3 linked regions of the Tribolium castaneum genome follow. The protein of the gene in region 2 interacts with the protein of the main gene of each other region in a biochemical or structural test. Links are inferred from orthologs where the notes say so. Each region holds a gene or a part of one and is shown on either strand. Other genes may lie near its edges.

Region 1 (4,028 bases), on a different chromosome or scaffold from region 2:
ATGTTTATTTTTTGGTACGTGATATATTGTCTACGTTTCGCCACCTTCTTGGGGCTTCTTCAGGACAATAAATAGTAATTTATTGTCAGATCTATCGATTATATGTGTAGCCTTAAATTGCCTTCGAAAAATATTTAAAAAAATATCCTGCAGGGTTCCGCAGTAATCTGAATTCTTCTGAATATAATTAATCTACGGTAGTAATTATTCTAAAAATATTCAGTTGTAAAAAATTATTTTGTACATATATTACGTTTCTTAAAAATTCAATTCAAATTTTGCGATCAGGCGCTTGTTTGAACGTGGTTTGAACAGGTCCTCTTCAGACACTCTCAGGATAGTTCAACCTTGATTATCCTAAACAGTTTCAGAGATTTATTAAAAAGTACTTCATTTACAGTATTAGCAGATCAGAGACAGAAGAAAGAAATTGGAGGTGGTCCGAATCGCCGGAAAGATTAGAGTACACAACTAGTGAAAAAAGACGTGAAGAAAAACACACGAGAAATGGCTGTAGTTCTAAAAGACGATCTCAGGAAACTTCACATAGTAGAAGTTCTAAAAGTAGAAAAAGGAGCAGAAGTAGAAATAGACGAGAAAATAAGAGTAACAGAAAAAAGTCCAAACACCATTGACTGTAACAAGTTGTTTAGAATAAACGTTTAACATCTACTTTTTATTGGTTTTTATTATTTGCAATGAATACAGTTATTCATCACTTTTGGACCAGCTGTATGCAATATTGGCAAACTTGAAAATTGGTCAACAAAAATATAATAGTGGGAAACCTGGGTGAATAAATACTGATTATTCCCGCAAGTATTTTTTCTCGGATGCGATTAATGAGAGGAAGCGGTGCCAAAAACGATCAATGGGCCCTCCAAAAATCGGTTTTCGCAAAACCTGACCTACGTGAGGCAAATCCTGCGGCTCTATTAATAGGAAAACTATTTACAAAAATAGACTTGTGTCTATTTTGCGACAATCCGGCAAAATTCATTCGACGGTTTTTTGCCGCGCAGAAGTGGAAGAGGATGAGTCACTTCCAAGAACGGTTGTACGTAAATTTGAATGACCGCGGTTTAGTCTCAATTTTTCTAAACGCCCGTTTTCCTTCTCTCACTGTTTCACGTACGGGGGATGTTCGATTGACGCGCAGACTGTCTTAGATGGGACGGAAACTGCTAGTAATTCTGTACCTGACGAATCGAATCGGCCAATCAGAGCGCTTCATTTGACTTTGAAGTTTTGGTATGGAATGGATGGTCCATTTTTAGTTCCAAACAAAGTAAAACCGCTCAAAAATGTGTTTAAGGTAGTTTGTGGTGTGATAAGTGTGAGATTTTAACGTTGTGATAAGAGACGGTTGTGGGACAGACGCGAAAACGTGCGAATTTAGTGCTTTAGTACTGATGGTGTAACCAAAAAGTCGCTTCAAAATGGACGCACGCATTCAGCCCCAAAGTTCCATTTGTAGTGACTCAAATTGGGAGGAACCCGCGGGAAATGACGGTGAGGGCCCCCTTTTGACCCAATCGCCCCCTTGCCCGCTCACTTGTAATCAATTTTCGGGCCGGAGTTTGTTAGGTTATGTTGATCAAAGCAAGGTTAAAACAATTTATCTGAGCTGCTAAACGAATTTATTTGGTCAGATGTTACTAATGTTCTGTTTTAATCTAGTTGCACCCTTAAAGAGCAACCGAAGGATATGTCTGGTTGGGGGTCTGACCACCGATACAGCCCTTCGGACCGTCGCAGAGTCCTTTCGGGTGCCGGTTGTTACTTCAAAAGACGGAGAAGATTGTGCTCAAGATGATAGTTTTAGTACCGTTTTTATATTAGAGAGTTTCGAAGGAGACGTATTTAATTGTTTATATAAACAGAAGCAGTCCCTTATGGGGCCCTTGGCTCTGCAGCAGCTAGCCAACAAGAATGAGCCACTTCCAGACAACACGAGGCCCCTCTTCAACCTGGCTATGACGGGGGTCGTTGTCTGCTTTACTGGATTCAGGAACAAAAGTGATCTGGTCAGTATTACTCCCATTGTGCAAGCAATTGTAATTAATGGGCTTGTTTGGCCGTTAATGATGTAATAAATTCGCCTAGAATTTAAAAGCAATTTGAATGTATTTAAGACATTTGGAAATGTTTATTATCTGGCTCGTTATTCACTCATTGTTTTATTCATTCATGTGATGTTTGGGTACTACACATTAATTTGCATTTGGGTGCTATAAATAGAATAATCACCAACGTACTCACGTTTAACAGCCGATTATTTTGTTGTTACCGTTTCGAATGTGGGTTTTGAGAGTTGCAATGGAACGTAAATCGAAAGAAAAACCTAAGATCATTTCACAAATAAACACACCAAAAAAGCAAATGCTAATTTAATTAGTCAGCATTTTATCAACAGGTGAAGTGATAAATATTTTTGTTAACATTGTCAGATGAGTTTAATTTCGCTTTATTTTTGTTTGTGAGCATCAACAGCCTAGTCCATTTTTTCCAAAAAATAAATAATAATTAAAAGTGAACATTGGACACACTTTCTATAACAAACGGCATTATTTACAAAATGAAACACTAAGCATGTAGGAAAATAATTTTAATTTTTTCACCTGTAACGACTGAGCTAATCTTACCAGAAATTGTAAAATTTCCTCTTGTGTGAAAGTAAGAAGAAAACCAAAAAGTCTTTGATATTGCCTTCTCCAGCTTAGAAATGATCACAAATTCATCAGTAACGGAAATTACGATAACTTGATGATACAGCTTAAATCGATACCAAAGGAATATTAGAACAATTACAGAAATCATCCTACTGTTCAAAATGCTGAAGATTTTCCGGAAGACAATTAACCTTTTTACTTTATAAATATTATTTAAATTGTTTAAAAAAATTTCGTTACAGTTTCAATGCATTAGACATTAATTTACACCTTGGACTATTTTGGCTTTTGACATACTGAAAGACAACCTTATAAGTTTAGGGCGTTAAAGTATTAAGTTTTTTCAGTGCCTCTTATTACTTATAAAGCGAATAAAATCGAATATTTCTTTGCAAAATTGTGACATTGATTACTAAATGAGAATTTTTGTTTTAAATTAGTTCTGAATTTTGAGTATTTTGGACTGTTTTCGCTCTCAGGTCCAGAAATAAATACACTAAATAAGCAAATGCTAATTTAATTAGTCAGCGTTTTATCAAACAGGTGAAGTGATAAATATTATTATTTACATTGTCAGATGACTTTAATTTCGCTTTATTTTTATTTAGTTTAGTATGTAACGGAAAAAATATTTTTTTCGATTTACTTTCAGAATTATGTAGTTTTTTAATTAAGATTGTTCGATAATGCATAAACTGTGTTAAGTAATTATTTATTACCGTAACTAACTTTAATGTTAATATTATTTTGAAGTCATTGTCATTTGAATATCGAAACTGAATTTGCATTTAAAATGCTTATACGTTTTTCTACATTAATATATTCATATTATAGACTGAAAGTTCTTTAATTCAATAACAACAGGAATATAAAAAGCTGGGACATCTTTGAATGATTAATACACTTTTACGTATGATTAATCAGTGAATAATCCTACCTTTGAACACCGAAATATCTCATATTTATTATTTTTATTGAACATTTATACGGGAAAAAAGATCATACTCTCAGTGAAGTGTATTTACAGGTCACAAAACACATAAACCAATTTTTTAAACATCGCTAAAAAATTAAATATCGGGTATTTTTATGATGCATTATTGCAGGCAACTTTGGTACCACTGATCCATCATATGGGTGGTTCCATCAGGAAAAACATAAGCCAGAAAGTGACGCATTTAATTGCCAACATTTGTAATGGAGAAAAATATCGTTATGCGGCCGTATTTCGAGTACCTGTGATGAATCAAGATTGGGTCTATGCTAGTTGGAAGAAAAGACATGATATTAATTTTAGTGCAACGGTTGATGCATTTGTGGTAACATCTAGCAATGAAAATGTTGCCAAATTATTAA
Region 2 (4,099 bases):
TCTCAAAAGCGTGTTTAAAACCTCGGATAAGACAAAATATGGATCTTATGTCGAAAATTCTCGCGAAAATCTGAATCAGTTATCTCATAAGGGGCAAAAATAATACAATTTTCGACACAATTTTTTTTCAAATAATTAAAGTTTGTAGTTAAAACACGCGCCCAAACGGATGAAACAGATAAAAATTATACAATTCTGCTAGTACTTTTTTTTTGGCTTATTTTTGACAAGATTTCGGGAAAAGTAATTTACCTATCAAGTCCGAAAAGTGAGATTTTACTGGACGAGTAAGTTAATACAAAGACGAGTCGAAGACGAGTTCTGGTAGCTTACGAGTAGCAGCAGAAGATCACTTTTCGGACGTGATGCGTACAATATTTTTTTTGCAACCGTGATGATCCCCAAAGAACGTATAACGTCATTAAGAATGTTAAAAACGTGACTGCAGTTGCAATACCTCATTCTTCATATAGCATTTCTGCACATAATTGTACATTAAATTAATATTTATTATAAACAAATCTCTCAACTTCCAACTTCATTAGCTCGTTTTTACTGGGCTAGTGCGGGAAAAATGATCAAGCAGACTATCCTGTAAAAGGGTACTTTCCGTCAAGAACATAACAAAAATAAAATGTTCATTACGGTATGGTTGAAAAAAAATATTTCTGCCGGAAAAACGTTTGAACTAAAGCTCTCGAAAAAATGAAAAATAACCATTTACGTTCTATTTTGATTTTCCGACTTATCAATTATTATTGAAGAAATGCGTTTCTGAAAAAAGATCTTGCAAAAAATCTAAATACATAATTCGAAAAAGTGTATAAACGCTTGAAATATGGAAAAATTTCACCATTTTCGATGTAGTTCGACAATTTTTCAGTTAAATTTTGACGCAAATCTTTAAAATAATAATTGTAGTGTTTCTGAATGAAAAACGACCTAAAATGTTTAAAAAAGGCAAATCACTCTCATTTTTAACCCAAATTCGTAAACATTCAACTCTCGCTACGACAGAACTAACACAGTCTGATTTTATTTGGTAATTTTTTATACCAAGTAACCATTAAAGACTGCGATTTTTGTCGTCAGGCTGGTAACAAATTTGTCACATGAAATGACATAACAAAACAACCAGGAATGCCAATAATAATTGTTTTTTGACATAATCTTTAATATCAGTCACCCGATATTATATATGACACAATTCACGGTGATATTTTAACCTGATTTAAAGGTTTTTGGGTCGGTTTTGTGAAAAAATTTGAAATTTCAGCTTAAACAGTCTGAAACGTTGTTCCACGAAATTTGGTAAAAAAATTATGTACTTATTCTGACTGGAAAATGTATTAAAATTCAAAAATCGTGTCACTGTCAATCAAATTTGGTGATTTTTTTATTAAATTTCTATTTTTAAAAAGTGCTTAAACTTTTATTTAAAATTAGTCCTGAATATTGAGCATTTTGGACTTTTTGCTGTTTTCGCTCTCAGGTAGAGAATTGTCAGTAACACTCAAAAAAGACAAAAAACTGAATCAATAAGGCTCTAATTTTGAGAATGACAAGAAATAAAATTTCGTTCAATGTAAACAACCTGAAAAAAACTATATCGACCCTTTAATCCCTTTATCCAAAAAATGTAATAAAATGTGTAAATATGGATAAACTTTATTACCTCAACAACTTTATTTCCAGAAGAACGTCTTTTTTTAATTGCAGGTTCGGCAGAGGCACCTGTGCTTGGCCTGTGTTTTTTCCAAGCAACTCCAGAGAGACGAGAATGATCTAAATCATCTTCTGACTGTGAATAGCTAAAGTCTGACAACATGGATCCTAAAACATAACGATTGTATTAATTTTACGTTCAGTTTTTATGTTTTTTAGAATTACCAGTTGAATTAACTTCTCTGATAGCGCTAAGTTGGGGATGATGACCATTTCCATTTGCACTGGTCAAATCCCACTCGCTTTGCCAGTTATTATTATGCAAAAATGAAAATTTTTGCCTCATTTCATCCGAAAACCTGATAGTAGTATTTTTATCCTTGAAGAGAAGGTCTTTGACAAGGTTTATCTGTGAAGCCTAAAAACAATTTTTAATAAAATGTCCACAAAACGAGACAAAACACTAACTAATTCATCCCTCTCCTTCCTGGCTGTCCTAACCATTAGCTTTTCCTTATCAATCATTTTCCGAGCTGTGTGTAACTTATTCTCCAAATCACTACATTCCACTACTTTATTATCGAGAACATTTTTCAGCCTGTTAATTTCATCCAGTGCTTGAAAATAATCAACATACAATAACTTCACTTCTTCAACAAACTCCATAAACGCTGGGAGAGTCTCTAACTCATTGTTTCTAAAGGGGCGATAACTCCGCATCAAATCATCAAATTGCGCCGCCAGGGAAATGTCTCCGTTTGAAGACTGGCCTGATCCAGAACCCATATTATCAGAATTACACGAGGCAACGCTTTCATCACTGTCGGAGGCTCCTTTTTCCACAAACATGTCTCGGTTCAAGTCAGCTCGGGGGGTTCGATACGGTAGGGGTGTTTTAAAAGGAGTGTCACACATTTTTTCTTAGTTGCACTGCACACTTAACTCAAACTCAACTTGTTACACATCTAAAGCACAGATCAACTAACCTCTCTAATCTGTGTCTAAAGCACAAAAACACTCGATGTTCCTCAAGAAACTCACTAAAATTCTAACAAATATGAGAGTTAAAGCTTCGTGTTCTTTGAAGTTACAGTTGAAGAAATGCAATTTTGAAAATGACCAATCGGAGCTCACCGATCAGCTGTCATACTTTAACCGACCGCAGCGTAATGATCCATACCTAGCGCTAGCCATACTTCAAATCAAAAATATGAAGTCTAAAGATTTATTGAAGCTTGCTTATACTATCCGTTAAATTGTTTTTAAAGTCTTTGTAACTTGTGTGTTCAAAACATTAAACGTTTAGTGTCAAGGGCGGCTAACGATCATCGGCACGTGGCGCTGCCGTGGCAAGAATACGAATCATTAGTTCGAATTCGTTATCCGCCAAACAAATGTATTCAAATAAAATTGCAGCAAATAAACATGAAAATTTTTATTAAAATTATTAATTAAAATCCATTAACTGACATTATTTTTCTTGTTAAAATAAAAAAATTTAAATACACAGGTGTCGGTTTCGATCTCCATCATGGGGATCTCTCAGTTATTGAGATAGGAAGTTGGTTAAGTTAGGGTAAAATTGCGTATTTTTGTGTTGGATAATTACCTGAAAAATAATTTGATGTGTCATTTTTAGTTTTTAGATTATTAAGAAAAATTAAAAATTTGTAGGTACCTAGTTTTCAAACAAATCTAAATCTGGCATCGCCTTTTCCAAGATGTTCTTGATGTCAGAGTTACAACACTAAACTTTGTTTTTTCTTATGAACGCCATATTTAACACTTATATTTTTGAAAAGTGTTTATGTTTCTGATTACAATGATGTATTACATTTTACATGGTATGATCGAATCTTACATGCTGATTAAAATTAGAAAAAAGATGTTTCTGCAAAGAATGCGTTAGAAAAACAACGTTTTTACAATCGTTGGATGACTTTATCCTGGGAATAAATTTAAAAAAATACATTGTTGAAACAATTGTAACCATAGTATCTATAGTATAATACCTTATCTGGGATTTATCTGACGATTGTAAAATCCATCCTTAACAAACTAGGTTTTGACAGTTCTATTAAAATATGTGAGCCGAATTTTTATAACTGCTCGTTGTTTCATTTTGCGAAAAATAAACTTCTAAAGCTTATTAAGTTGTTTAGTTTCTAAGTAAGTAAGTTTGACGAAAATGTGATTCAGATTCAAATTCAACTGAACTTCCAAAATCAGTTTGTTTACAAATAAAATTGTTGGACTTTTTCCAAAGCACTCATCGTAAAAATGCTTTTTTCTTCATTTTAATCAGCATGTAATGTAAGATTAAATTGTATGTTAATAATTGAGATCCCCTTAGGGAAGCTCGAAAAACGGACACCTTGTATGAAGGCATTTTTCTATCACACAGCATTGAGTTGGTGCGCCGGTTATTAGTAAC
Region 3 (4,327 bases), on a different chromosome or scaffold from region 2:
GAAGTTTTTTTCCCAAAAGAATACCTCCAGTATTTAAGAAGATTTTTAAGTTTGCAGAACTTCAAACACCCATAACTAAAAATTTTCAAATGAAATGCCATCATTTTTTCCTATACTTTTGTTTAACAGTTTTCATGCGGATTTTTTGTTGATATTGTATGTAGGGATGTAGGTAAATGAAATTATGGAATCAAAGTTTTTCAAATCCAAATTCAATGAATTCATTTTGTTTTAACGGAAAGGAAAACAAAATTTTGAACAGAATTTATCGTTTATTCAATGAAATGTTTCTTTGTCAAACTGCGCAAAAATATCTGTGGCTAGCAATGTCAAAAAAATTAACATAACTTGAAAATTATCACAAATAAGCATAAGAAATGCCAACACAGATCGTTGCAGAATTAAATTTTCTTCTATTTAGTGAAATAAAAACTTATAGCATGTAGAAGCTGTCCAAAAATAACGTTAAGATTTTGGATTTTGTAAACTTTTTTGAACACACTGAAGGAAAGATTTAGGCTTTGTTTTTGATTGGCCAAATACTGTTTCTAAAATTCTAAAAATAGCAGAATTTACGATTATTGAAGTGAAAGGTGCAAATCCAAAAATTTCCAAAAAATTCTGATTATTTAGAAAATAGCTAAATTTAGGAATAGGAAAAAGCTAATAAAAAAGTTCATAGCGATTTTCGATACAATCGGAAGTGCCGCCATTTTGAAAATATTTTCAATCAATGAGCTATGGCTCTAGGCTAATTTTCAGATAAATGTTATTATCAAAACTTTCAGTACTTTTTTCAATACTCCGAAACTTAGTTTAGACAGAACACTTTGTATTCGTCAAACATTTTCTCGTTTATTATTAAACTCTAATAAAAATAAGTCAAAATAAATTTCCCGTGTGCCTTTTTTTTTCCTCGAAAACCAAGTGCAGTAATAATAATTGCCAGATTTATTTTTTTGTGAAAAAACAGTGTTCTCATAAATCATACACATTCGATGTTGCATAACAGATGACGCTTTGCAGTTTTGACTTCCCCAAAAATAAAAATACGTACATGTTTATGGTGTTTTTGAAAAAGTGTAGACAACGCAAAGTTAAAATTTTATATTTTATAAATTTTTATAAAACGTATAAAATTTGTCTAGGAAGAACAAGAATTTTAGGAGTAGGCCTTCGCCCTGCCTGAATGCGCGGCCTACAGTCCTGTATAAATTTCTGTTTAGTTTTTTTTTAATATTAATTGTTAGGTTGTTAGCTAGGCAACGCCCTCAGCAGAAGCATTTTGTGAGTTGCATAACACATAAATCAATGTTTTGATAGACTAAATTTAAAATACGGTCAAGATCAGCGTTTGGCCCAATTTTTGATCGACCAAACCAAAGTTGTTGAGTCAATATAAACCACTTTGTGTATTTTATTGTGGTCTATTTTTGTTTGGTGGTTAGAGATCGCGTTCTGCAAGTAGTCACTTCCGTTGACAATTCTTTTTTCCCCACCATTTTCCTGTCCAATCAGCCAATCAGCTGCCGGCGTTTGAAATCTTCTCAACTGCCAAAAGTTTTTCAAGCCGTGGTGGATGCTTGCCGTAAAAACCCAACCAAACGCAATAACTGTGAATAAAACTAGGAGTAATTAGTGAAAATGTCGAAAGTGGACGATTATGTCGTAGTTCCCGACTATATATACGACGAGAACACGAAAATTAGGTACAAAAAGGGGCAGTTCTTCGGCAAGGTTAGTGTTGTTTTTGTCGATGGGTTCATGTGATAGTGGCCGTTTTTTCTTAGGGCGGATTTGCAAAATGCTACGAAATTACGAATGTGGCCAACAGCCAAACGTTCGCCGGGAAAGTCGTCTCGAAAAAGCTGATAGTCAAGGAAAACCAGAAGGAGAAAATGACTCAGGAGATACAGATACACAAGTCGTTGAAACACAAAAATATTGTCGGTTTTTATAGTTTTTTCGAGGATACGGACAATATTTATATAGTTTTGGAGCTGTGCAGAAAGCGGGTGAGTTTTTGGCCCTTTAAACTGCGTCTGTTTCCTGGTTGTTATCGCTGCTCACTCTGTATTATGGGAAACTATAATATTGATAGTTTTATCACCAAAACTAATATTTAAACTGATGTCTGTCATGGCCAATGGTTGCACAAACAAAGAGCTAAATTAATTGGTAAATTAAACAACAGTCCACCTCTTTAAGACACTGTAGTTTGTATAATTAATTATTCATGTTGGTATCACTTGTGGCGCTTATACTTGGGTTTCTAAGTTAGGGAGGTAGTTCTAACTACAGTTTCCAGGTTTATTAATTTCAAAACCTCTTTTGACTCAAGTCGTAATGGAAAAGATTGTAGCAAAAAAATTATATTAAAATACCATTTTTATTGTACATAAATAAGAAGGGTAAATTATGAATGGGGGCTATGATGGGGGCTCGTAGATGACTTTGGTACCTTAGGCCCTAGTTGGTATTCCTTAAAACCTTTGATAAATTTACAAGTAAACAAAGTGCTTGCCAAAGTTTTTTGGAAAATATTTCAGAAAGCAAACACAGTTATTGATAAAATTGTGTTACTCTTATCTTTTGAGCTTCCTAGCTGAAAAATCATGAAATTAAAGCGAAATTTATTTAATTTAGCTTATTTTATTCGATTTTGCTCGTTTTTTTCCAAGCCAGTAAACACGTGTTTGAACTTACATTCTTAGTTTCTTGTAAAAATCACTAAATTTACTGAAACATTTTTTTTCCTTTTCCATTTACAGCCAATAAAGGAATTATCCCTGAAAATTGTGTACACGAGATAAAAACTAAGTTTTTTTTTTAGAAAAATTTACGCGAAAATGTGATTATTTCAACCAGAGATTCATTTATTGCACAAGAACTTTTTACAACAATAAATCTTAATCAAAAGTAATGTTATTTCTGCCTGTTTTTGAGCATTTAAGCATGTTTTAGAGCTAAAACCTGTTTTTTGAGACCGAAAAATTACCAGTTTGAATCCAAAATTATTTCGTTTTTTTTTTTTTCACCAGCAACGCAAATTTTTCGCGAAATCTCTTAAAAACAAGTCGAAAAGTCACCCAAAACATATACTAAAATGGGTGTTATTTTAGTGTTCTTCGACTTTCATTGAGTTAAAAATTAAGTTTTTTTCAAAAAATATACCTAAAAGTGGATGAAAATTCACCGAATATATCGAAATTTTTATTTTATATTTTTTAGTTCGAGGCTGATTTATTTGGAATTGATGTCAGTTTTTTTCGATTTATCACGTTTTTGGGCGAAATTTCATCAATAGTAAGCTTAAAAGATAAAAGTTTGGTCGCAAAGTGTGTTATTTTTATATTTTCTAAGCAAGTGTTTGGAGTTTCTTATGAATTTTCTAAATTTAGCTGAGTAAAATATTCTTTTTTCTTTTCCAAATGGTATTTTGTAATGAACAAACCGAAATTTCACCAAGTCACACTGAAAATTGTGTGAATTCTGAGTTTTTCGAATATTTAAACATGTTTTGAGATATTAACTAAATTTTTTTTAGAAAAATTTTGCTAAAGGTAGGTAAAAATTAGAATATTTTAACCAGAGATTCAATTATTAATTAATACTCAAAAATTTTTTACAACAATAAATTCTGATCAAAAATAACGTTATTTCTGCCTTTCTTGAGTATTTAGACATGTTTTAGGGCTAAAATCTCTATTTTTTTTGCTAGAAGTGACCGAAAATTAAAAATTTAAATCTAAAATTATTTCGTTTTGTCTTTTTTTAGCACGTTTAAAAAAACAGACCGAAAAGTCACCTAATTTTACTAAAATGGGTGTTACTTTAGTATTCTTCAACTCTTGAGTTTTTTTTTTTTTTCGAAAAATTTACCGAGAAATGGATGAAACATCTCCGAATTAGATCAAAATTGAAGTTGTCTTATATTTTTCTAAGTTCAGACTGATTTACTTTGCTAGAACTTGTTAAAAGACTCGTAAAAATCACAAAATAAATAGACATTGAGTTTTTTTCGATTTATCGCGTTTTTTAGCAAAATTTTGTTATAATAGGCCGATAAACCACAGCATTTAGTCGAAAAGCATGTTGTGTTTGCGAGTGGTTGACACCAGTGGCGTATCCACAGGGGTTCCGTGGAACCCGGGCCCGGAGCCTAAAAGGGCCCGCAAGCTTCAAGAGCTCTTCGATTCAAATTTTAATGAAAAAAATTGTTTCTAAATTTATCCCAGGCAATAGGCGATTGTTGTAAAGTATAGTCTGCAATTGTAAAGCGATACGGTCTAAATAATACTACGAATTCATAAAAATGTCTACGTTA

Evidence for each region.
Region 1: the proteins of tum (region 2) and pbl form a complex in vitro, tested with the Homo sapiens proteins (3 studies listed by BioGRID and IntAct, with this or other methods). The link is inferred for Tribolium castaneum from reciprocal best matches to the Homo sapiens genes RACGAP1 and ECT2.
Region 3: of the proteins of tum (region 2) and polo, one has a biochemical effect on the other in vitro, tested with the Homo sapiens proteins (3 studies listed by BioGRID and IntAct, with this or other methods). The link is inferred for Tribolium castaneum from reciprocal best matches to the Homo sapiens genes RACGAP1 and PLK1.

What each region holds. Positions count from the first base shown.
Region 1 is NC_087398.1:7,933,453-7,937,480, forward strand, and holds the start of pbl (protein ECT2), read left to right. Parts: upstream 1-1,213; 5' UTR 1,214-1,439; coding exon 1,440-1,512; intron 1,513-1,680; coding exon 1,681-2,027; exon of another isoform or gene 2,028-2,102; intron 2,103-2,262; exon of another isoform or gene 2,263-3,136; intron 3,137-3,778; coding exon 3,779-3,991; intron 3,992-4,028. Other genes in the region: U2 small nuclear ribonucleoprotein auxiliary factor 35 kDa subunit-related protein 2, read left to right, coding at 401-635. UniProt on the Homo sapiens protein: Guanine nucleotide exchange factor (GEF) that catalyzes the exchange of GDP for GTP. Promotes guanine nucleotide exchange on the Rho family members of small GTPases, like RHOA, RHOC, RAC1 and CDC42.
Region 2 is NC_087394.1:20,769,709-20,773,807, forward strand, and holds the start of tum (rac GTPase-activating protein 1), read right to left. Parts: upstream 2,812-4,099; 5' UTR 2,652-2,811; intron 2,630-2,651; exon of another isoform or gene 2,603-2,629; 5' UTR 2,581-2,602; coding exon 2,134-2,580; intron 2,084-2,133; coding exon 1,891-2,083; intron 1,834-1,890; coding exon 1,676-1,833; intron 1-1,675.
Region 3 is NC_087398.1:11,007,990-11,012,316, reverse strand, and holds the start of polo (serine/threonine-protein kinase polo), read left to right. Parts: upstream 1-1,509; 5' UTR 1,510-1,644; coding exon 1,645-1,737; intron 1,738-1,790; coding exon 1,791-2,015; intron 2,016-4,327. UniProt on the Homo sapiens protein: Serine/threonine-protein kinase that performs several important functions throughout M phase of the cell cycle, including the regulation of centrosome maturation and spindle assembly, the removal of cohesins from chromosome arms, the inactivation of anaphase-promoting complex/cyclosome (APC/C) inhibitors, and the regulation of mitotic exit and cytokinesis.